Linked DNA regions of Oreochromis niloticus. The main gene of each other region encodes a partner of the protein of the gene in region 3 in a complex. Links are inferred from orthologs where the notes say so. Each region holds a gene or a part of one and is shown on either strand. Other genes may lie near its edges. The genes, in order: sost, dickkopf-related protein 1 and lrp6.

The links.
Region 1: the proteins of lrp6 (region 3) and sost are in contact, whole or in part, in a crystal structure (PDB 6L6R), measured with the Homo sapiens proteins. The link is inferred for Oreochromis niloticus from reciprocal best matches to the Homo sapiens genes LRP6 and SOST. Residues at the interface, in NP_001401174.1 of Homo sapiens: Arg28, Asp52, Val70, Ser71, Glu73, Leu95, Ser96, Asp98, Glu115, Arg141, Trp157, Trp183, Asn185, Ala201, His226, Phe228, Trp242, Met269, Arg336, His361, Asp379, His404, Asp406, Thr422, Glu447, Arg449, Trp465, Trp491, Asn493, His534; in NP_079513.1 of Homo sapiens: Leu115, Pro116, Asn117, Ala118, Ile119, Gly120, Arg121, Arg169, Thr171, Arg172, His174, Asn175, Gln176, Ser177.
Region 2: the proteins of lrp6 (region 3) and dickkopf-related protein 1 are in contact, whole or in part, in a crystal structure (PDB 3S8V), measured with the Homo sapiens proteins. The link is inferred for Oreochromis niloticus from reciprocal best matches to the Homo sapiens genes LRP6 and DKK1. Residues at the interface, in NP_001401174.1 of Homo sapiens: Arg639, Glu663, Ser665, Ile681, Tyr706, Glu708, Thr724, Arg751, Trp767, Gly768, Gly769, Pro771, Val790, Gly791, Arg792, Asp811, Thr812, Asn813, Leu814, Pro833, His834, Phe836, Trp850, Ser851, Tyr875, Met877, Arg1184; in NP_036374.1 of Homo sapiens: Glu185, His204, Phe205, Trp206, Ile209, Gln218, Val219, Thr221, Arg224, Arg225, Ser228, Gly230, Leu231, Glu232, Ile233, Phe234, Arg236, Ser258, Leu260.

What each region holds. Positions count from the first base shown.
Region 1 is NC_031973.2:6,392,193-6,399,975, reverse strand, and holds the start of sost (sclerostin), read left to right. Parts: upstream 1-4,375; 5' UTR 4,376-4,582; coding exon 4,583-4,838; intron 4,839-7,446; coding exon 7,447-7,783. UniProt on the Homo sapiens protein: Negative regulator of bone growth that acts through inhibition of Wnt signaling and bone formation.
Region 2 is NC_031978.2:15,063,695-15,072,092, reverse strand, and holds dickkopf-related protein 1, read right to left. Parts: upstream 3,108-8,398; 5' UTR 2,735-3,107; coding exon 2,519-2,734; intron 2,391-2,518; coding exon 2,246-2,390; intron 2,069-2,245; coding exon 1,934-2,068; intron 1,807-1,933; coding exon 1,541-1,806; 3' UTR 949-1,540; downstream 1-948. Other genes in the region: cGMP-dependent protein kinase 1, read right to left, coding at 7,441-7,539, 7,632-7,698, 7,784-7,846, 7,935-8,057, 8,285-8,398. UniProt on the Homo sapiens protein: Antagonizes canonical Wnt signaling by inhibiting LRP5/6 interaction with Wnt and by forming a ternary complex with the transmembrane protein KREMEN that promotes internalization of LRP5/6.
Region 3 is NC_031981.2:21,753,877-21,761,719, forward strand, and holds the start of lrp6 (low-density lipoprotein receptor-related protein 6), read right to left. Parts: upstream 3,184-7,843; 5' UTR 2,785-3,183; coding exon 2,730-2,784; intron 1-2,729. UniProt on the Homo sapiens protein: Component of the Wnt-Fzd-LRP5-LRP6 complex that triggers beta-catenin signaling through inducing aggregation of receptor-ligand complexes into ribosome-sized signalosomes.

The DNA.
Region 1 (7,783 bases), on a different chromosome or scaffold from region 3:
CATCAATCCCTCCCTAGAAAAAAAAAAATCTGGCACAGCCTCAGAGCTGGAGGGTTACACACAATAGGAAGACAAGGCTGTCTGCTCAGTCTACTTTAGAACCCCTTGGATTATAAAATGAGAATCATGCTCGATGTCAAAATTCATAAATGTTACAAAAGAAGCAGCGTCGTTGCTGGGGCTAAACATAATGTACTCCAATACAGAGTTCTTACCTGTAATTATATTATATTACCAATGGATACTGTTGCAAAAGATCACCCTCTGGTTCAGATTCTTTGATTTTTGGCATAGGTCTGCCAAACTCCCCTGTTAGCATCTTTCACAATACTCTTGTTCATCAGATTTCACGTTGCTGCCAATCTGCAATTTTTGGAAAAAAGTGAACACTTTGAATTTGATGCAAACTTCACTAAAGTTTTATACTCTATCCGTTGTAGCCATTAGAAGAATCTTATATTACACATTTCACCTTGGCGGCATGGCGGCGCAGTGCTTAGCTCCGTCCAAGCAAGCGTTCATGTTCTCCCTGCGCCTGCGTAGATTCTCTTCAGGTGCTCCAACTTCCTCCCACAGTCCAAAGACATAAACATTAGGCTGGAATGTGAATGGTTGTTTGCCCCTCTGTACAACAGACTAGAGCATTTACCTGACCTCTCGCCCTATGACAGCTGGGATACGCTCAAGTCCCACCTTGAACCTGAATTAAATAAGCAGGAAAAAAAATGGATGCATGGATAAAAACACTGTTTAGCCCAAGTGTGGCAAACTCATTTTTATTCATTCGACAAATTCTTACAAGTTTGCACTTAAGAAGTAAACCATGTTTTTAATAAATTACATTTTAAAAATGAAGAACAATTTTTTCCCCCCTTTTAAGGTGTGAATTTTAGTTTCTGATAGCACCAAACGGCTGCTAAATATAGTGCCGCATTTTAACAATGAAGATGAAAATATAAGTAAAAATTGGAAATGGCCAGAAACACCACTGCAGTGTTGCTCTTTATGTTTTAAATGTGTCACTATCACTTTCTATCAATGTTTATGGTTATGCCATAAACATTTTCCTCTACTTACAGATTTTGGCAAAATTACAAAAAAATGTAGGCATCTCAACAGCTTTTGATTTTTGTACATTTTAATTTATTTCAACAATCATAAAAATGATCCCAGCATATTTTATTCTGAATTTATCTTTGGGTCACTTGATATTTTGGGGCATTTACACGCCAAAATATAAAATATATATTATTTAAATGCACTGAAAATACATTCAGTCTAAAAGGGTTTTATAGAATAAACTCCTACATGTTATGAATATCATAAATTATAACAGAAACCATGCAAACACATGAGATAGCCAGTGCATAACTGTGTTTTTACTGGCAAATATGCATCTATATGAAATGCACTATGAGTAAGCAAAACAGTTGAGGTTAATTGGTGCAAATATGTGGTAAATTTATCATATTGTCTGATGAAAAAGATAAAAATGTAAGATCATGGCTGTTGAACAAGTTTCTTTTCCTTCTTAAACTATTTATTGACATCAGCTTTTGTGCAATTTCCCATCATCACATCAAACAGTCATGTGAATAATGCGTTACAGAACATTCGAACAGCCGACTTTTAGAACAACACCGTCTGGACATGATGATTTGCTTCAGGAGTCTTTGTGTTGATGGCCCTTTGTTAGCTAAGACCACACAAACCACACATCCACAACGATCATAATCTAAACACGACATACCTAAAACAGGCATAACAACACTTCTACATTAATGAGTTGAATGACTTGAGTCGTTCTGCTGAGCTCATATGAGCAGGCGGTCAACAATTACAGTATTTATCCGTACACACACAAAAAAATGCTAAATTACTGTAAAAACTGTTTTGTGGTTTTACAGCAATGTGTCATGATGTTTGAAGCTGTACTGCAGTTGCACAGAAAGTATCAAAATTTGTCTTTATGTACTTTTTTTGAAAGTAAAAACTGTTTTTCAGCTCTGACGTGAGTATTGCTTAAGGAGCAGCTTCACTATTGTGAACAACAGAGTTACAGATCCAGGTGCTTTTTAAGTCTTTTTAACTACATTTAATTTTCAGGGCTTATTAGCCCATTTAAAGACTGTTTTCTCTTGTTGTTTGAAAGTTCCATGTTCTTATCTTCATTTCTGCTAAGTGTTTTTGCTGTGTTGTGTTTTTTTTACTTTACTTTTAATGCAGCTTTAGTTTAGCCCCAAGAAAAAAAACTTGTTCTCACTAAACCAACATTTGACCTTTTTTTTTAAATTCCATCAAATCTAGTAGCAGCTATAAAACAACACTATTACATACCTACAGTTGATGCAGGAACGTTTACACATGAAAGGACTGTTAAGCTCCTAAAGGCTGGACTGAAAATGCAAATTTTAAAGATAATTGGATTTGACACTCAAGAAGAGTGGCCCCTATACGAGGCTTTTAGAAATGATGAAAAGCTCTGTTGTTACTTTCTCTTCAGAAGAAAATGTTTTTGACTGGCTGATGTTATTTAAAACTCCTTAACAATAAATTTAATTTAATCTTATCCCCATTATGTTCACCACTTTAAATTGTGATGGATGGGCCAGTTGGCCAAAGCTTCAAACCCTCATTTGAGGCTTGTATAAAACTAGAAAGACCATGAGGAGGGTGTGTATGATTATGGAAGCACATCGGTGCCTCAATGAGCGGTTAGAGCGATGCGATACTGACCAAGAGAACCACTTTAGAGTTTAAGAGATAAAAACCAAAGATCTGCATGCCTGTACCCATCAGTAGAGCCGGACAGTGTCATGCAAAACTTGTGTAGTCTCCCTCAAGAGGGCAGTGTTTGAATGGAAGAGCCTCCATCTGTCAGCACTTATCAAATCACTGGGATATGAGGGGTGCCAAGAACTCACAGTCTATAACATTTTATTTAAAACAGATATGTGGATATGAAATATTGGATTGTCATGGCAAACATTTAAATTGTGTTCAGAACACATGTTGCTGTGCTCATACTTTTTTAGATTTTCACATCTCGTTATATTAAGTGTCTCTGCTGAGACGTGTAATGATGGGTAATTAATGTGAAGGATCAAATGATTAATTTGTGTACAGCCTTGAGTCAAAGACAGGGTAAAAACGTGTCTCGGGTGGAGTGTGTGTGGCGCATGTTTGCTGCAGCAGTGGAACAAGTTGCACCCTGCGATGAAGTCCAAAATAAACCCCCTTGAAAAAAAAAATGCTTTCTGAGACACGTAATGCTGCGGAAGCTGTTAAAGAAGGGGGAGGAGAAGATGCACCGGTGCACTTAAATCCAGTAACAACAACAGCGGCACAGAGCGATGTGCAGATGAGCTGCCTCACTCAACACTCTCTGACATAAGTAAGCTCCTCTCCAGTATCTCTTTTTTTATTTCTCTGTCCTTTCAACCCTTTCCTTTGGCTTTCATCCCCCTTATCTTAACTCTTTTTACTCCCATTTCCTCCACTCTCCTCTGACCTTTCCCTCTCTTCTCCTTTTTCAGTCTCATCTCACACCCAAGGGTGTGTTTAGAGCAATGGCACAGGGTGGCACCAGCCCAGAATTATTAGGCTTATAATCCCCAACACCAGTGGATAAGAACATGGATAAGTGGTAGAGCATAACTTCAGAATTTTACTCAAGCATTTAACTGACCAATGCAGACATCAGCCTGGTTACTTATTATATTGTATGTAAAGGTGATTAAAATGACATGTACATTAATGAATCAATTATTATGACTGAATAACATAATGAGTACTTTGAAGCATTTAAAGATCAAAAAAAGAAGAAAATGTTACTTTTATTTCATGTAGATGGAAATATCACCACACTGTTGCTCTATATGGCCAAACAATACACATTAGCCGTTTGTACCATTTCAGTAAGCTTATGGCTTTTACTTCAGTAAATGGTCTAAATACTTGACAAAATGATTTTCAGGCACTTGTGCAGACACTTTTCATATAGAACATATGTACTCTATGAAGGCATAAGGCTGCACACAAGCCTGGAAATCTTCCCTAATATCCTCTACACTCTTTTTTTAAATTTCTGATCAAATATTCTGGTTAACTATTTTAAAAATAAGTAAATAAATAATGGAAGCACTCCTGCTCATATCTGTATTTTCCTTCACTGCGGTCTCTTCTTCCTTGATCTTCTCAGTTTTCTATTACTTTTCTTCTTCTCTCTCCTCTCTCTGTTACTCCTCTCCTGCTCTCTCCTCTCTCTGTTACTCCTCTCCTGCTCTCTCCTCTCTCTGCGCATTCATCCAAACCTCTCCCCTCCTCCTTTCTCAATGAATCTCTCGGCCAGGTTCAATCCCTCCCACTTTGTGTAAGCGCCTAATTGTCAGCCCTGACGAAAACTTGCGCAGCGCTTAAATACCGCATTCGCCTCTTGCTTTGAGAGTGCAAGTGACCAGCCTGTTCAGAAGGACATCTCTTGTGTATGTGTGTGTATGTGTGTGTGTGTGTGTGTTTTATTTTAACAAATTTTTTTTTTTTTAAATCTCCTTGTGTGATTTATTCCTGCTGACCGACAAGCATGCAGGTGTCTGTGGCCCTCCTCGTCTCCAGTTCGGCTTTCCTGCTGCTCCAGGGATGCTGCACCGCTGTGAAGGGATGGAAGGTTTTAAAAAATGATGGCACGGAGATTTTACCAGAACGCAGAGAAAATACGCGGACGCCGCTGGAGGCAATACTACAGCCGTCCAACAGCAACAATAACAACAACAACAACAGCAACGCTATGAATAACAGGGCAAAAAACGGCGGACGGGCGGCAAGCACAGTTTCCTACAGTAAGTATCATAAAGATGACAGAACAAATGTTAAATATTTAATTTTACAAGTTAAATAAAATGAGAAGGTAAAGATCAATAAGTAAATCGACGCAATGCTTAAAGTTTAAATGCTGGAGTGATTTAATTTGACCTCTTAATTGGAGGCTCTTGTGCGTAAAATTAACCATCCGTCAGAGCTTTATAAAAACTCATTAAAAGGCTTAAATTTAGAAAACTTTCGGATTTTATCGCATAAAACCTATTCCCAGCTTGTATGAGAACAAGCAGGAAGGAGCATAAATGTTTATTTATTTGATTTTAGGTCCCCATTTTCAATTAGTGCACGTTTATAAAGAATAAACGTGGACCCAACTGCGCTGTACACCCAACCTTTACTTAATACACAAAAATGTGACATAAATTAGGAAAGTTTATTTCTCATTATATTTTCCACATTTAAGAATTTTAAACTTTAATTCAACTTTTTTTTGGCTTAAAAATAAAATAAAATTTAAAATCTTGTGTCAAAAATATTCAGTGTATGTGGAAAATGTAGGCTCTCCAAATTAATGTGGCTTTTTAAAAATTGCCCTAAAACACCCTGCCTCTACATCCTGCTTCATTATCACATCAATTTCCTGATTAAGAAGCGTGTAAAAGGTCTGGTTTAATCCAGAGGTGAGGGTGATGAGAGCGGCTCAGACGCACATTCCTGTGGTTTCTTCCCCTACACACAGCAGTCAGTGAGACATCGGGGCTTTTTCACATTGTCTTCCAGGTTGTTTCCTTCTCTCTTCATACTATTAGTCAAGCTCTACTTCCACCATAACTATTTGATTGCAACAACATGTCTCCCAAACAGAAAAAACCCCACAGTTTGCTCTTTGGGGAGATGTCTTTGGGGGGGTTTTAGAAATTGCTTTTTAAATGCAACACTGCCTTTGACAATGATTCCCACCTGTGGCCGGTAACGGTTGTGTGTTCTGATTAAGTAGCGCATGCAGGATAATCTCATGCTTGGTCTCATGGATTCGAGATGGGTGGTGCAACATTTTTGTTAAATTATGGCCCCTTGATTTGGAGATCAGAGGAGATGATTGATTAGATTAGAAGAGCAACAGCTGACAAGAAGTGAGTAGTAAGTCGAGGAGAGTTAGTGTGACTGATTTTCTTGTCTTAAAGGGTAGAAAAAGAAAAAAAATCACACGCCAAGCAACAGCTCCAGAAGATCTCATTTAACAGGAATTTATTCATTATTAGCAGGGATGGAAAATGCATCTCTTGCTTTTACAGTGAATGTGCAGCTAATGAAGGCAGAACTCTCCTGGATTATTTTCTTCACCCATATCTTAATTTTCAAGTTATCCTTCCCCCTGTGGGGTCACAAAAGAGGCTGTGACCACTGCCTGGCCTCCCTCCAGTCTTCCCCAGAGGCTTGTCTCCCACAGCTGAGGGAAAGGAACAGCTCACGCAACTCTACAGTAGTCTAGTGTGTAATCATGAAAATTTGAGGCTCATTAGTAATTTTAAAACTAGGGTGGAGAATTGAAAATGTTAGGCTGGATTAAAACACATCCTGGTGCTTCATAAATAAGACAACCTGTCTTGGCATATGGTGGTAACTGGTGCAAACCGCCACCCGGTGTACGCTGTAGGCGTTGTATACTTCTGCGGTCGCCTTCACCAGCAGCCGCAGAATAACACTAGATCATGTTCTCGTGAGGAGAGGGGAAAAAAAGGAAGTCACCTCACATAAATCCTTTGTTCAGCCCTTTTTGCAAAGAAAGCCACAGAGGAAAACAGATCCTTCTCCGAGTGTATCATTTCTTAACCAACAGTTCTTTTGCCTCCTCGATTTCTTTCTTTTTTTTTTTAAACATGCAGCTTGTAAGAAAAAAGAAAAAGAAAAAAAACACAGGACAATAACTCATGCGTACGGCTGTTAAAAAGCTGCAGCTGAAATATAGGATTACAGCCTGAGTGTGCTGTCTCGAATCAGCCTGGCAGATGTCCAGTTTATTCAGAAGTGTACAGTTGTAGCGCTGCCTTAAAATAACCAGACAGCTATTTACTCTTCCATCACCACATACATTTCCTGAGGGCCAACGGTGAATGCCAGCTTTTTCCTTCCAGACCAAACCTCCGTTCGGTTTGATTGAGCTGTTTAATGGCCCTCTGGTCTGGATTTGCTATCAGCTGATTGCTGCCAGCTGGATTTCTTCGTCAGGCCCAGTTGTCAGCTAATGATCAGACCATAAATCAAATTCAGAAACTCTGATCTCATTGGCTTAAGCCTCCACTTAAAAGTACAAATTACTGTATTAGGCTGAATTTAGAAAAGTGGATTTTTCAGCTGCTCTTTTGTGTCTCGTAACGTGTCGGAGCTGAAATGAAACGCTGCCTCCGGTTCAGACTTTATTTGCCTTACGTTGTTTGTTTTTCACATAAATAACGCAACACGTGAAGTCACGTTGGCATAAACAGACCGAGGCAAATGATCACACACTGAAATAAGACACAGCTGCAGTCGCCCTGCAGAAAGTCCGCAGCACTGTGTGGCTCTCCAGAGTGTTTGTTCTGGACTCGATCCATGAGTGTTAACGGTTATCTCCTCTCTTCAACCCAGGTGCCTCGGAGGTGAGCTGCAGGGAGCTGCGTTCGACCCGTTACATCACCGACGGCTCTTGCCGCAGTGCCAAGCCTATCCGAGAGCTGGTGTGCTCGGGTCAGTGCCTGCCCGCGCACCTCATGCCGAACTCCATCCTCCGTGGCAAGTGGTGGAGAAGCAGCGCCTCAGACTACCGCTGCATCCCGGCGCACTCCCGGACACGCAGGGTCCAGCTGCAGTGTCCCAACGGCAACACTCGGACGTACAAAATCCGCGTGGTCACCTCCTGCAAGTGCAAGCGCTTCAGGCCGCATCACAACCAGTCGGTGGCCAAGGAGGTCCCGAAGACGCAACG
Region 2 (8,398 bases), on a different chromosome or scaffold from region 3:
TTTGTTTTTCCACCACTAATCTTCAATGACAGCCAGAGTAAACCTCACCTTGTCTTCTTTGGACAAACTTCAAGCTAATGTCTGTGGATGTAAACAGATGAAGAGGTTATCTGGCTCGGTCAGATATCAAGAGTGTCTTGTGCGTCTTTTGATCTGACAAGAGAATCAAACAAAAAGTATAGTAATTTCCTCACCATCTTCTAATCTAAACATCTCTAATTACAGGTACCAAGGTGTATTTGAGTGGATTCATAGCCTACATATTAGAGCACATCTATTGCGCAACAGCCAGGAAATGGGGTGTGCTGTGCAATTGGAGAGACTGAGAACTTTTTTTGTTGTTGTTGCATCACAGAAAAAGTGCTGTGGTGCACCTCATTTCATGAAGCCTTGTGTAGATTGAGTAAGATGAAATAATTAGAGGCTTTAGCTTGGATAGCCAGCTATCTGCTCTGCTGCACATGAAGGCAGGAACATCATAATTAGAAACTAGCCAACACCAAAGGTGTAGGTGGCAAACACATTCGTCAGGACACAGATACTTAGTTATTACCTCTTTGTAGGCATCATTTGATATGGTGGGTTGCCTTCATCTGATAATATATCCTTGATTGACCATTCTCTGCTTTCACAGCAGGACCTGACGTGTTGAGGCTCCAGTAGTAACTCATTACAGTTGTATGTTTGTTGTAAGTCTTTTTGGGTCTGTGTAACAACTGTGTTTAGTGATTCTGGGCCAGGTTAAGCACCACAGACATCCTTCAAACAACTTTTGCTTTTCAGAAGGGGACAGTTGTTATTTTTCTGTGTACCAGCTACTATATGAAGACTAAATCATTTAGTTTTTAACTTTTGCAAGAAACCTCTACAAATCCTACGTAAAGCCCCCCCCCCTTTTTTTGTTGCAGTAGATTCAAATTTTAAAAAATGATGAATAGAAAGACTGCATTAAGATTATCACGTGACATTTAATAAAACAAATATATTCAAATTTTCAATAGATAACATTTCTTATAAAACATTATATATAACACATTTACAATGCATGCAGCACCATGTCTTTATAATACTGGTGTTGACAGAATGTAATAGCTCATTTAAGTGCCACATCCAGGGAAATATGTACAATACAGTAATTTACTGCAATAACCGTGGCATGAAGTTCCATAAAAAGAGAAACAAAACAGCTCTGCCATTACCAACGACATGCATTGATCTTCCTAATACTTCTGAAATGTCACTTCCTAACTTCCGACTCCTCATCTGCTGAAAGGGAATTGAATCAGTCCGTCTTGCACTCTTGTATCCCTCTGGGTGTATCACTTTTCCAGGAATCATGTCTATCCTTCCGGCTGATGTGTTTGTGTCAGCAACTTTGGCAGGAAAGAATGTCTTAGGTGTCTGTGTGCATGTGTGTGCGCGTGTGTGTCAGCATCTCTTGTGTATGCAAGTGTTTGTCAGTGTCTGTGACTGATTTGTGGGTTTTGCTGGGCGTGTGAGTGTGCAGGTTTCTGTTTCTGTGTGCGTCCACTCGTTCATGTCAGCGTCTCTGACAGGTGTGTAGGTTCCGGGCTGCAGTCCTGCTGACAGTGTGATCTCGCTCTCCTTTCTCTGGTCGGCAGGCCAGCCCTTCGCCGCAGTCACAACGCTGGAACAGCTCCAAGCCATGGTTGCCTTTCCTGCGGTGGCGCGTACACACCTGGCCCTCTGTCAGAACAGGCTTACAAATGCGAGACCAGAAGTGTCTGGCACAGCAAAGACCCTTGGAGCAGTCTGCAGATCTCAGGCAGGCATCCCCCTCTTGGCCTGGAGATGAGGGGGGGAAGAGAACAAAGTGAAAATATGTTACATGGAACAGACCTCCCTGAAAACTTCCTACTGCTGTTACTTGAACCCAAGAGATAAGACTGATGATTTTTAACAGCACACTTACCTTTGACAGCATGAGGCTGGTTGCTATGGGCAGTGGGAGGCTTCTTGGCTCGATGCTCCGTGGTACTGTTGTGTGTGTGCCAGCCAGTGGTGAGAGCTACATCTGCACCATCTAAGTCATTTGCCTGGCAAACACCTGAAAAGGTAAAAGACGAAAATAAATAACTGCATTTAGGGTTTGCAATTAACACTACAGAAAAAGCCCTTAGTTAATTAAGATATAAATAATAAGTAGAAAGTTGAATAAAAAAATATAGTTTACAAGATGACAAAAAGAAAACCAAAAGTCATTACTGATTTGAAATGAGCTCACCGTTGCTGCAGCGGTTTCCTGTACAACACATCGAGTCCCTTGCGCAACGCTTTCGGTTCTTACGGCAGGGTAGACAGACGCCTCGAGCATCGTTGCAGAATTCCTCACCTCCACACTCTTCATCATCCGTGCAAACACCTGAGCTCTATATATGATTAAAAACAAAAATATTATGTCAGGAAGTATATTGCTATGATTTCTGTGACAACGTATATAAGCGAATCACTATTGTGGTGCACAGACTTGACTTTTACGCACGGCTGAGTTAATTACCTGCAAGGTGTCTGCGGGTAATTTGTGTCCCATGCCACCAGAAGGTGATGTTCGAGGACTCGGACTGACACTATCGGTATCTTTAACAACCGGAGCGCCGGGCAGGTTTTTGATCGCGTTGGAGTTCGTCAGGACTGTGCCCGCGTAAACGTCCCCAAGGTATCCAAACAGCGTGAGATACACAGCCAAGAAGCGGCGGACTGAAGGCATCTTCATGATTCCTTTCTTAAATTCTCCGGCAAACACACGATAAGAATGTCCCTTTTGTTTTGAGAAGAAGAGTGACAAAGTCCAAAACGGCCTTGAATCCAGAATCCTAAAGTTTCCAGAGAGTTTCAGGACGATGTTTGGAAGTCTCCTGACTCGCAGTCCTGGGATGATCTCTCTTTATACATGTGGACCTGTTTGTCTTCCCGCCCCTCGCTGTGCACTACAAAGGCGGAGGGGTGGAATTTCAAACAGAGACCCACTGTACGGAAATGGCCATCTCTGCTCCCTGCACAGGACAACGTTTCAGTGTTTGTGATGATAATGACCTGCAAAGTCTGTCTGAATACCCATCACACAGTGGCGTACACGGGAAACAACCCCCCAACCACCAGTCAGTACTTACTCTATCCAATCAGTATACAATAAATAAATAAATAAAAACATAAAAAATACAGATGACAAATAATGTTTTCTTTAATATTTTTTCGATGTGTTTTAAAAATATTACTCACAAATTCATCACTCGAGTCCCTCCCCCTTAGATAGATCTCTTATGAACGACAATTTTATATTTTAAACACACAAATCACACATCGGGAATAGTTTTTTTTTTCTCCATGTTATTTATCACTTATTTTAATTTTCGCAATTACTGTGAAGTTATCAAAATAGGCAAGTAGTATATTTTTCAAACTATTATAGGTATAACTTTATAAAATAAAAACAATGACGTTTTTCTAAATGTGGTAGCACATTTGATTTGTTGACTGATTTTGATTTATATCTCTGATAGGACTATTTCTGGTGACAACTTACCTGCGCATCTTTGTAGAAGCCGTTTGCTTATTCCAGTTTCTTTGACATCCTTTGGCTGCCCTTTGGCTGTGTGAAGACAGCGATTGAAGTTACTTAAGTCGATTAACTACTTCATTTGATCCCTCTGATTGCAAAGGGGGCAATTATCCCCCAACGTGTGCTTGATTACACCAGTTGCGGACATCAATGTGTAGGATATGCAGACCATTAAGGGGTGTGAAAACTTTGCCGAATTAATGGACTTCCGTGGAGAGGCCTTTCAGGGTTGACTGGCACTTTGAGATTAAAGGCGACTCTGATCTACCCTGCTCTTTGACCCTTTAGGCTCCACCACTTCAAGAAGGAGAAATGTATTTGAGAATATTGAAATTAAGTCTCAATGTTGTTTTTCCACGTGAATCTGCTGATAACCCCACATCGCACTAGACTTGTCTCCGTGTTTGTCCTTAAGTTGTTATCTCTCGTCCCTTTCCTGAGAGATGTGAGCTCTTCTGATTTATTTATTCACCTTAAACCTTTAGTGACACTGATTTCAAAACTTTTTGCACTGTGTGTGTGAACAGTCAGTTTTCGCTGTGCAAGAAGAGCTCCCTTCAGATGCTGAAGTGCGTGATAAAAAACAAGAACTTAAGTTTCTCCTTGTAGATATCTTAGCACTTGGACGTCATCTGCTGGTCACGGAGCCTTTATCCGAAGTTTGAGTGTGAGAACGTGTCTGCGTGTGTAGAAGAATAAGCGATGCGCCATAGACACCTGACAAACACATTAGCACTTTGCGCATTTGAATTGCTGCATATCTTTTGAAGTAGAGCTTTTATCTCCACTTTACTGAATGTCAGTACTGGTAAGGTGAGCTCCTTTGATGCACTTTGATCCCCTTTGATCTCACAGAAGTGTCACCCTGTTGTTATGGCTGAAGCCATTTCCCTGTGCCCCAAACAGATTTGTTGTGCGAACAACACGGAGGCCAAAAAAGCTGAATCATCCGCACTTACCACTAAGTGGATGACATTAAACTCTTGGAGTGATTATTAGATATCTGGGAACTTTAAGCGGTTCACATGAGGCTGAGGCGCCTGCGTGAAGGGACGTTTTAGTCTTACCATTAGCTCCCCCTTGTGGCAAATACAGCGAACTCTGCACAGCACAAGTTTGAAAGAACACAGCACACACGACTCAAAAGTATTGTTTTTACTCTATAATTTTAAAAATCGTACACGTGGCACTCTGCAAAATAACTTACAGCAGAAAAATAACAACACAAGGCAAATATCAGGTAACTTTGCAGAAGGCAGTCAATAAAAACTGAAAACCAGTGGTTTGGTAAGTTATGACATACATAAGGCTTTGTGAAAACATACCCCCCTCCCTCCCCCGACACAGTAAAACACTTATGGTTTAGAATTAAGATTTCTTCTTTTTTTTTTTTAGTTCTCCATCAATAGATTCATATAATATGTATGTTTGGCTTCCTGGGGTGAATGCACATAGGAGAATTTTGCCTTCAGAACTTTCTGCCTAGAAAGGCTTTGCAATACATGGTTAATATCGTCAAAAGGATGAATTTTAACTGTTTCTTCAAGCTTTACCACGTGGATTTGCTGCCTAGACACAAGCAAACAATGACTGTAAACTACAACGGATAAGAAAGCTTTTGAAAGGCAAACTTCTCCTGCTAGTGGGGTGAAATGTGACTTGAGCTTTTGAGCCAAACAGTGAAAAGAGAATTTGAATCGTGATGAGATATGATTAATGCTGACATTCTGTCAAAGACTGTCAACAGTGATAAAAATATTTCCATATTTGTACTGGCAAAATATTCATAACTGCAAATCATTCTTGCCGTCTCTAAAAGCTCAAATTTACTGACTGAAACAAGTGATGGATGGTCTTTCTGAGCCATGATTAATGCTCACTGGTGTTTTGTATCAGGCCAGTAGTGATTGACTTCAAAAGATCACATTAGATATGTGGAGAAAAGCATGTCATTGCAGCCATATCAGGTAGGATAGCTTTTAATCATTTTAAATGTTCTCGTGGCATAAATCAAAGGCGTAAGCAGGAAATTTTTCTCATATATTTTGTCAGCCATCAAATGACTAGAAATTCTCTGTGGTGATTAATGTATTTATTAGATATAAGAAAGGATGAAAAGCAGCCATCTAAGAGGACACATAAGTTTTTGAGGTGTATATGTGTTCATGCAGCATCGAAAAGGTCTTGTGATGTAAATTTTGTATGCCATTGACTTAAGGCACTTACATTCCTTTTGACTTCATGTTCTGATTTTTGGACGCAAGAGGTGACGAGCTGGGCGAGAGATCATGGTGATCAAAGTTGAGATTTCACAAAATATAACCTTATTTATTTAGCTTCTTTTTGCCTCTAGGAGACACTTCAAGATTCCCACGCGATTATGTTAAGTCAAGATAGTCTTATGATAATGCAAATGTGGTAAATCTGAGTTCCAAATAAACAGAAGGATGATTTTTTTTTTCACGGCTGAACTCAACATGGTGAAACCTGTTTAAAAACCTCGACAATACCACAAGTGATAAATCATCGATCAAGTTCACAAATTTATACAAGTCTCCAATTTTTCTAAAGAATGCTGTCAAGTACGTTACAAAGTAATCAAGCACAAAAGAAATCACAATACAAAAACAAAGAACCAGTACTGTCATCTCAACATCGCTTATTATAATTTATCAACAGCACCAAAGACATCAAAACCATGTTCACAGTTATGTCAGTACTATACAGGAGAGGACGTCCGGTTTGGGTGGATTCAAGAAGTGACTGAAAAACAAACTCAAGACGGATGTAGGCAGAGAAGCATTCGTATGCATGATTTTTTTTTAAAGCCTATTATAGAACAGAAAAGTGTGACCTCTACTTAAGCTTAAAATGAGCTATAACTGTGGATTTTCTCAGTTAATGGTCTTAAGTGCATAAGGACACATTGCTTCATGGAAATACTAGCTGACATTTCATGTGTGCCGGTGTGTGATTCATTAAAATTTTAAGGAGGGCACTTTAAGAGTCACATCTCTTTCCACTGAATGCACTGTGTTTGTGCTTTTCAAGGTAGATTAATCTCACATAAATTGTACTAAGTATTTGATTTCAGCCCAGTAACGTTCATGTGTGATGATAGATCTCGTAAATTCAAATACTACGTACCATTCATATTGTATTTTCAATAAGAAGAAAAATCTGTGACATTCAGATTAGTCGTGAGCACTTGGTACCAGTTGCACTTGCCATCTGTAGTGTGTAGATGTCTACAAAGCATTACAGATTGCAGAAAGCAGCTGCATGTTGATAACCAGGGACCAACTGCAGTATCATCATATCCCCTCCCAGAGTCCACCAAATATTTCACTAAAGATTGCGGAAAAACGAATCTATAAAAAAAGAAAAACCAATAACCATCCCCTTCCTCTTTTGAGCGGTTGTCAACATATAGTTCCTTTTTCTAGTCGTAGAAGCAAAACTTCGACAAACTTTAAAACATTCATCCATCCACTAAGCATTGCTTCATGTTACATGGGAAAACCTGGCTCTGTTATCAGCCTCTGTTGTATTTGTGTGTGTATGTGTGTGTTTGTATCCCTGCACTTTCTTTGCCTTTAAGACCCAAGTGTAAAACAACACCGGAGAAGTGCTACAGCAGTCCCATTATAAATGCTTGATCCAGAGCCACAGTGAAATAAAGGCATATCGGTGACCCAGAGGGTTTGCCATCCAACTATTTATCTTCTTTTCCATATCTTCTCTTTCATTTTTAATGCAGTTTTGTTTTTTACAACACAGCCATGTCCTCCATTAATGACCTCCAAACCATTAAAAGCCAACAAAAGAAGAGTTTCTTCTGGTTTCAAGAGAAGAGGACTTCAAAAATCAACGTCCCAGCCGGAGTTGTCATCAGGAGGTGGGTCTTCATTGTCCTCTGGGAAACTGTCAAAATTACTCGTGTCAACTGCTGATGTGACCTGGTAGAAACACAAAATAATCTTTCACATAAAGAATAAGCAACAACTGAGTGGCTATAAAACAAAACAAAATGAGCACAGTGTGCACTTACATTAGGGATAATAGGTGGTGTCAGTGTCCCCTTCTTCAAACCTTCCCAGTTAAAGCCCTCAAACCATCTAAAAGAAAAAAATAGCATTACTTCATCATTGTACAGCGAACAAATTAATACAAATGTCTGGACTGAGTAATGCGTTTTCTCACTTGTGCTTTTGGATGTCTTTGACACCGTTTTTCAAGTTTCCCAGTCTTTCAGAAGGATTATCCCTGAAGTAGAAAAAATAATATATGATTCAGCACGCAGACCACTTAAATGAATTACTATGTATAAATGTCTACAGGCATAAACACTTACCTGCATAGCTTTTTGATTAGGTTGGCAGCATTTTTGGTAATTTTCTTTGGAAACTCAATCATGTCGATTCCTCTCAAGATGATGTTGTAGGTTTTCATAGGATCAGGGCCAGAGAATGGAGGACTACACAACAGAGGCCAACATATTACTTTGAAGTAAAAAGTGCTTAAGTGTGGACAATTATGTAATCAGCTACCATCAAACTGTTCTGTGTAAATTGTGCAATGAGCTGACACATTTTAATTTTCACCAGGTGACTCAACATTTCCAAAAAGTTTTGCATGTATATAGCATTACCGCAAAAACTTCATAAACAAGTTTGTTAAGGACAAGCCCGGGCCTGTGGGTACCTGCCAGTTAGGAGCTCAAACATAAGGATTCCTAGAGACCAGTAGTCAGCTGAGATGTCGTGGCCCTTGTTCAGAATGATCTCTGGTGCTACATACTCTGGTGTCCCACAGAAG
Region 3 (7,843 bases):
AAATCCTTCATTTTCAGTGCATGTGATGATCTGAGCTGTGATTGAAGGTTTGGGCGAACCACAAAGATTTTTAAACTCAAACTGGGCGGTCTGAAGTTTGGGAATGTCTGGTTTACAGTGAGGTGGCAAAAAACTGCACATAAATTATCCTTGGCAGAAAAAGTTAAACAGACAACCTGAACTACGACATCTCAGCCGCTTGGTGAGGTCATCATCCACACAGTGAACAGACACTCGTCCGATCGGTTCATGGGTTTGACTGTGACAAATTACTGTATGATCATTTCAACTCTTCTAACTCAGCAAAGAGCTGGACTTATTTACAGGATCTGTACCCATATGTGGTGCCATATTTTCAGAACAGTGGAGATTTGCACACGAGTCACCTGCAAGAGTTTTACTTACCCTGTTTGTCCTTCGTTCATACTCACATTTAAATATAAAGTTTAAGTGAAGCTGAAACCTAAACAAAACTCATGAATAATCAATAAGGGGGGATTGATGGAGAAACTGATTCAGGCAGAATATATAATGACTCCTGTATGTGTATGATCTGATCAATAACCACCCAATCACCAGGCTGCATTACCACCGCGTCCCATTTAAGTCGTGAGTCAGAAAAAGAAACTCGAGCATGCAGGTGCAGGTGGTGGGATTAGTTAAACCCAGCTTTTTTTAAACTTGGCTCTAGTGTTGAACCGCAGCACAGCAGAGAGCAACGCGAACACCCTGAAGCCTCTCTGCTCTACATACGTCATTGCTTTATTAATATTTTTAATCTTGGACTTAAACTCATTTTATGGAACTTGCGCAGAAAATTGTCTTTCTAGCAATTTTTTCTAAAATTTCTTGCTCGTTATCAGTTGCTTTTTAATACTTTTATATACAGCCTTTGTTTAACTTTATTTTTGATAATCTGAGTTTAAATTAGTGTTTTTTCCGTTGCCTTGGTACAACTTGCTTATTTCAAACAAATATATTTTCATTCCCACTTTTTCTGTCATTTATATTCCTGATATACAGTGAATCAATGTTTATTCATCCCAGATGCAGAGTCTATAGAAACAAGTCACAGAAGACAAGAAACAAGATAAAAACTAATCAAATACCCCCAATCTCCATCCCACAGAGTGATAACTACACCAGTGTCTCCACAACGAAGACTGACAACATGCAGCGCCAAATCTTTTATCTGTTAATCCCACTCAGAGTTGGACTTTGAATTCTTGCTGTAATCTGAATTTAACCAACTGTTAAACATTTGTTCTGGTACTGAAGATCCAGAAATGTTCGTTTAAATGACACTTACACCTTACATTCGTGCTTTGGTCTCATTTTATCCTTAATGTGTAATTTATTATATATTAACTGTTGCAACAAAAGGAATGACCAAATATAGGATAAAGAAAGCATTTTGTATATTTATCTGATTGTCCATTGTTACGCTCATATTTCTGGTGTAATTTGATCACAAAAATATGGGGGGAAAAAAACTAAATACATAAAAGATAAACCTGATATTTAAAAATATTTGATTTACAAATTTTTAACACACCTAATTATTGGGTAACAGTTTGACACTGAAACCTGTGGAATGAATATGTGATATGATAAATGAAAATAAATCAGAGGAGGCAGCGTAAGTTATTACGCTGTATTTCAGTTTTTAACACGGTTTCCGTTTTTAACACAGATAAAAAACACGTTTTTTATCTGTTTTTAAAAAAATATCATCTCTCACTGACCTATAAACTTTCTTTACATAAGATGGCTTTATGTGCTTTATTTTTCATCCTCTAGTGTTTACTGGATATTATCAGGAGCTCCTCAGGCCAAGATGATGATCTGTATGATATCGTGTGAGATGTGCTACACAAATAAAGTTAGGCCTGCTGAGTTGCTGTGATATAGTATTTCTGCTCTACTGCACAGGCGCGCTGTGTAGCAAACACTAAACTAAATTTAACGGAGCATTTTTAATGGCGATGACACCTTCATAAATTTACTTAATTCGGTTTACTTTTCTAAAGAGATCCACCTCGGACTCATGTCCTGGTCTCATTCTTTACATCCTTTAGATCCACCTGGCAGTTCGCTTTCATTTCTGGTGTAATCTGAGTTTAGAGGGTTTTTCTTTTCTTTTTTGCAGTTTTACTGTTTCTTTAGTGTCAGATTTATACAAATAAATTCATTTCTCACAGATGTGTCCAGTCGTGTAGCTGCTCTTTTGTGTGTAATGCTTTACATTTATTGGCCTTTCTTTTCTTTATTCTGTTCATTGTTATCAATAAAGTTATTTTTCCATGTAGATGGTTTATTAGCTATTAGCTCACTGATGCTAACCAGCTCGCTCCCTAGCATTTGTTATGCTAACTGCTGTTGAGCCCGATCCAGCCTGTTTTTAAGTTACAAAACACAACCAGGAGCGACCAACTGCGCCAAATACATACTCCCGCGACAAAAGGGTGCGCTGGAAGGGAAGCTGGCGGTGCTGTGAGTAGTCTCTGGTGGGGTATTTTCCAGCTAACAGGGCTGTTTGTGGTTTCTCCTCCAGCAGCAGCAGCAGGCTAAGCTAGCTCGCTCCACTCGGGAGAAATCCGACCCGGAGGCCGAGCTCCAAACATCCACAGAGAAGGGAAAAAGCTCCCCTGGGCTGCCAACACCACTTTTTCGCGTCTTTTACGCGCGGGGACGTGTGGGTAAAAGTCACAGTGTGGACACAAACTCACCTCGTATGAGAAAACAAAAACTACACAACAACAGACTCCGCAGCGCGACACCCATCTTTCTCCCGATTCTCGGCCCAGCCGCGGCGGCTCCTCAGCGGAGTATTCCCATTGCTGCGGCCGCTTCCTTGGCTCAAAAAAAAGCGGATTTCCCAGAATATTCAGGTCGATGTTCGGCTCCGGTTCGCATTACACCGTGCCCGCTTCCATCCCGGCTGGCTGCTCGCTAACTGCGTCGGATAAACTCTCGGTGTCTCACATTGTCCTGCAGGAGCTCCGTCGTCTCCTTCCGCTGTGAGGAAGCTGCCCCCCCTCTCCAGCCTCCGCCTCCACCTCCACCGCCACCTCGCTGCCCGGCTCTCTATTGTTGTTCCGCCTCACAGCCGCAGGTACGCTCACAGCACGGAAACGTCCCGCAGAACCGACTTCGAACCCCCACAGAACCCCACCCCCCAACACGGACGTTAACCCCACATTCCTGCGGGACTACTTTATCACACGGACAGGGGCCCCAGAAAACAGGGCCCCAATATCATCCAACGGCAGGGGCGTTTCCAGGGGTTTTTCATCAGGTGGCACAAGGCAAGGGGGGCTCAGGAAATGGTTATATACTATATCTGCTTTTTTAAACCAAATTCAGTCATTTGGTAAAAAGCTTTTAATCAGCTTTGTTTGTTAAATCTCTGCATCACAACATATCTTAAAAATCTAAGTCTATGTAATGCCATAAAACATCAGAAGAAACACATTTTCACCAGAAACCCACAATAATTACAGATATAGATTAATCTGACACTTTTGTTTGATTTTCACACAAAAAAGCCATTATGTGGATTATTAAAAAGTGTGAAAACTGATATTGTAAATAAACCTACATAACGTAATAGATTTTACAGTGCTTCTGTTCTTTTTCTTAAGAGAAAAAGAACAGAAGCACTTTTGATTCTAAATTTTGATTCAAAATTTTGGATTTTTACACTTTTTACTGACCTATAACATCTGATTTCAGGTTTTCTCTGTTTCTTTACACCCTATAAAGTTTACATGTTGCATTTTTCTATTTTTGATTTGCATTTTAATGTTTTATGCCTTAGAGAGGCAAGGTTGAGATGGGCAACAGCAGACAAGAAATGGTGGATAGACATGGAGCTGCCAGGCAGGATGTAGTACATGAAGAGATGATGGAGAAAAATGCTGGGGATAGTCTGAGATGGAGGCAGATAACCTGTGGTCTGTGGTCACCCCAAAAGGGACCTTTTAATTATATTAATTTCATGAAAGTAGCATCCCAGTGCCCAGAAAGTAGATAATCACTTTTTACAATATTATTATTCCTTTATCATTATTATCATTATTATTATTATTAAGATTTTATTCATGAAATATCAGCCCCAGTTTCAGGTTTCAAACATCAGAAAATGCAAGATTTCTCAAAAGCTTTCAGAGGGAGAAAGTTCACTGAGGATGTGAGGCCTCAGATTACAGAGTACACTTCCTATTTCAGAGTAACAGCTTTTCTAAAATCTCTTGCTGATTTAATAAAGTGTGGATCACTCTTGTCTTATCTAATGAATGTATCTGTGGGAGATGTGGAAGTGAAAGCAGGGCTGAAAAATTACAAGCAAGGTGGACCGGACGCAGATGTCCAGCAAAGAGGAAAGGAAAGCATCTCATTTACAATATTTCAGAGTTTAATCAGCAGGTCAGCAAAACTGCCTCACAGTTTCAGGAATATGAGGTAACTTGTTAACATATTAACTACCTGATCACGTGCCCTTTCATGAGTTCAACCACAATATCCATCACACTATTTGATCAGTGACTGAGTTTTTAGGATTGGGTTTAGACTTGATAATACTTTTGTAAGTATGGCGAATATCCACATGAAATTTCAAGTGCTGAAAAACTCATTTAAGCTCTGTTAAAAACTTGAATCATTCGAGTGTCAGTATCATGAGATAAATCATTACTTGAATAAACTGCACCAATTTAATGTTATTATGAGGATTTAGAGCAACAGGAACAAGTGTTGAAACCATGGATGTTTGATCTGTTTTTATAATAATTCAATGAAGAAAACTTTAAAAAGTGCATTCTGGGTAAACTTTCAAGACTCATGTCAGCATGTGTGATCAGTGGCTACTCCCTGAAGTCAGAGCATATCAAAGGTCTCTTTTTTACCTACATTTGATGCCAGGCTCATCTTTTAGCCATGATTCTTTAGGAGTCAAAATCATTCCTGAAACAGAGCAGATGATCACTTTCTGCCAAGCGGCGTTGAGAGCAGCTCTGAAGCACCTGTAGCATAACAAACAGCTTTACTACAAATGTTGAGATTGTGGACTTCACTGGGGTCATCATAAAACACAGGCAACATTTCAAAGGGTAAGAAGGTAAGTATGCTCCTGGTTAGATGAATATGATGTTTGTTATATTTATGATGGCCCCGATGAAGGCCACAAGCACATTAGAGTATTAAAGTTTATTTTTATGCAGTCATGACCAAAGATTTTGGCAGTACCACATATTTAGTGTTTTATACATTTTGCTGCTTCACTTTTTATCTAGCTTTTTTTTATACGTGTTTGTGATGTAGTGAAGAACAATGGTAAGAAATCCAGTTTCAAACACTCACAGGAGAGTCAGTATAATATATGATTTAAGTCCACTATAGTAAATATTACAGTGCTGAGCAAAGATTCTTGATTTGAAGTTTGGGAAGCTTCCTGGCCAAGGATCCAAAATGTTTATTTGATAATCTCGACGCCTCTTAGTTACCACTTTTATCTTGCGACACAAGACAAAAGACATCCTGCTGGAAGATCATCACCAAACTGCTCCTGGATCACTGGAAGAAGTCTGAGGATGTTTTTATTCTAGTTTTTGAGACAAACAGTGATAATCTTGGAACTGTGATAAAGCAGGAGGATCACCATCTGGGGCCCAGATACTGACAAACAGAAGGGTCGACACTGTAAACGTTAACTTTTTGCATACATATTAGCCCCGAGCCATGTTTATGGCCAATAAAGGTCTTTGAAACTTGTGAAATGCTTATGATTGTTCTTCACTAAATCATAAAAAAATTTTAGCCTTCTTCAAAATAATTTTTGTGCGGCGTACATAAATATATCTGGAAAAGTGATATAAAAACTTGAAATTTTGAGGAATTGTCAAACACTTCCCAACTGTTGAGCCTGCACCATGAATTTGTCCAAAGATGGAGCTTAGCTGGACACGATAGAGAAGAAGTTTGATCAAGAACAGCATCGACCAAAGACGTCACTCAAGTTTATGAGAAATCTGCAATAACATAAGACTGAGACCTTTGGGAGTTTGTTTGCAGTTTTTAACAGAGGTTAAATGTGTTTTTTCAGCTCTGAAAGAAGTAAAAATGCTCAAAAACTTATAATACAAGTTAGATAAATCCTAAATTTAACAGCAAGTTACTCTGAAAATACACATTATATGAAGGTAGAAGCATGGCTCCATGACATATATTTAATTTTCTGTAGATTTAAAAAACAGATGGGTCAGGTGGAAACTTTTCTCAGATTCAGGCTGATTATTTTTGTTGTTGTAATGAACCTGCGCCCAGTTTGGTTAATACAGAACAGTAATAAATGTGATGGTGTGATAAATGTGAAATTTTATTTAACTTGGAACAACTTTACAAGATTAATTTTGATTATTTGCTGGTGGAACACCCAGACGATACAAAATCACAGCGGTTCTATTTAAAATCAAACACACTCAGGAAAAAATAAATCTGCAGACTCAGAAACTGTTCAAAAATCAACAGTTTTTTAATCCTTACAAGAACAAAACATCAAAGTTCAAACTTATGCAAAAGCATCACTTCACAAAACAAGACCAAACTATTACCATCCATGTAATTATTAATTAGGCAATCAAAGTAAAAATCAGAGCAGTATCAGTGAAAACGCCTCATTGGTGCAGCTTCAGTTTATCGGACTGCTGCTGCTGCCACCTGGTGGTGAAGTGACGCTATAGCAGTCTCGTTTCTGCACATCCAGTACAATACAAATGTCATTATAGGAAAATAGTGCGCAGCAAGTGTCCTCTTACTTATGAAAAACAATCAGCAGATCATAATTATTTAAAAAAAAAAACAGGATACAATAGTGCATCGATTTTCAAAGGATTGCATCCATCGTTTGAATATTTATCCACATGTGAAATACAAAATACAAAAACACCACAGTGAGAGAGTGAGTCTGACATCTACACCGGTCAGGTGATTTAAGAAGCAATCACAGGCTCGTATGGCTGAAGCGTGTGGGAGGAAGAAGACATGCAGGTGTATACACAAAGGGCCCCGCGACCCCGTGGCGAATCAGAAGAAGGCCAGAATCTGAATCAGAGTCCGCTCGTATAGTTTCTTCTCGCCAGTCCACTTCAGAAGCTTCCTGAGTTTCTACGAGTAAAAATATTGCTGTTTGTTCTTTGTTCCATCGTCAGCTGAAGTTTTGGACCAATGAGCTTCCCAGCAGGACTCTGAGCTCATCATGTGATCTGAGAGGCCACAGAAGGGCAGTGTTACCGCCTAAAGTCTGAAGGCTGCTTCAAAGTTGCACTATCACTTAATAAGACTTAAAAAGATCGAGTAACAACTGAGGAATTTGTCTCATGAGAAGTCAAATAATCTAAAAAAAAAAAAGCCAAAAAAATATCTCAAAGTTTGATTTTTTTTTCACAAAATAAAAACACCTCAAATAAATTCTAAGAATAGTTTTTAAATTAAGAGATATTTTGTCTTCATTGTGAGAACTTTTCAATATAAGTCTACCATTTTTTCTTTTGTTAAAACCAATAACAGAAAAATTAAGGTATGAAGTCCATGATTGGTCCGTGATGACTTTAAGGAGGTGGAGTCTGAAATGGAATGAGGTTGGCATCCTTGTACTTTACCTACAGACTGTATATAAAAGATGGACATGGTCACTTAAGGTGAATAAAGTTGAAATAATCAGCAGTGAAGAAATCATGTGACTGGTGAGTTTGTTGAACGACTTCTTTGTTAGAAAATCTGGAATGGGCGGAGTTTGTTCGCTATTGTTATAAATATAAAGTTCGGCTAGCTAAGCCAGCTTAGC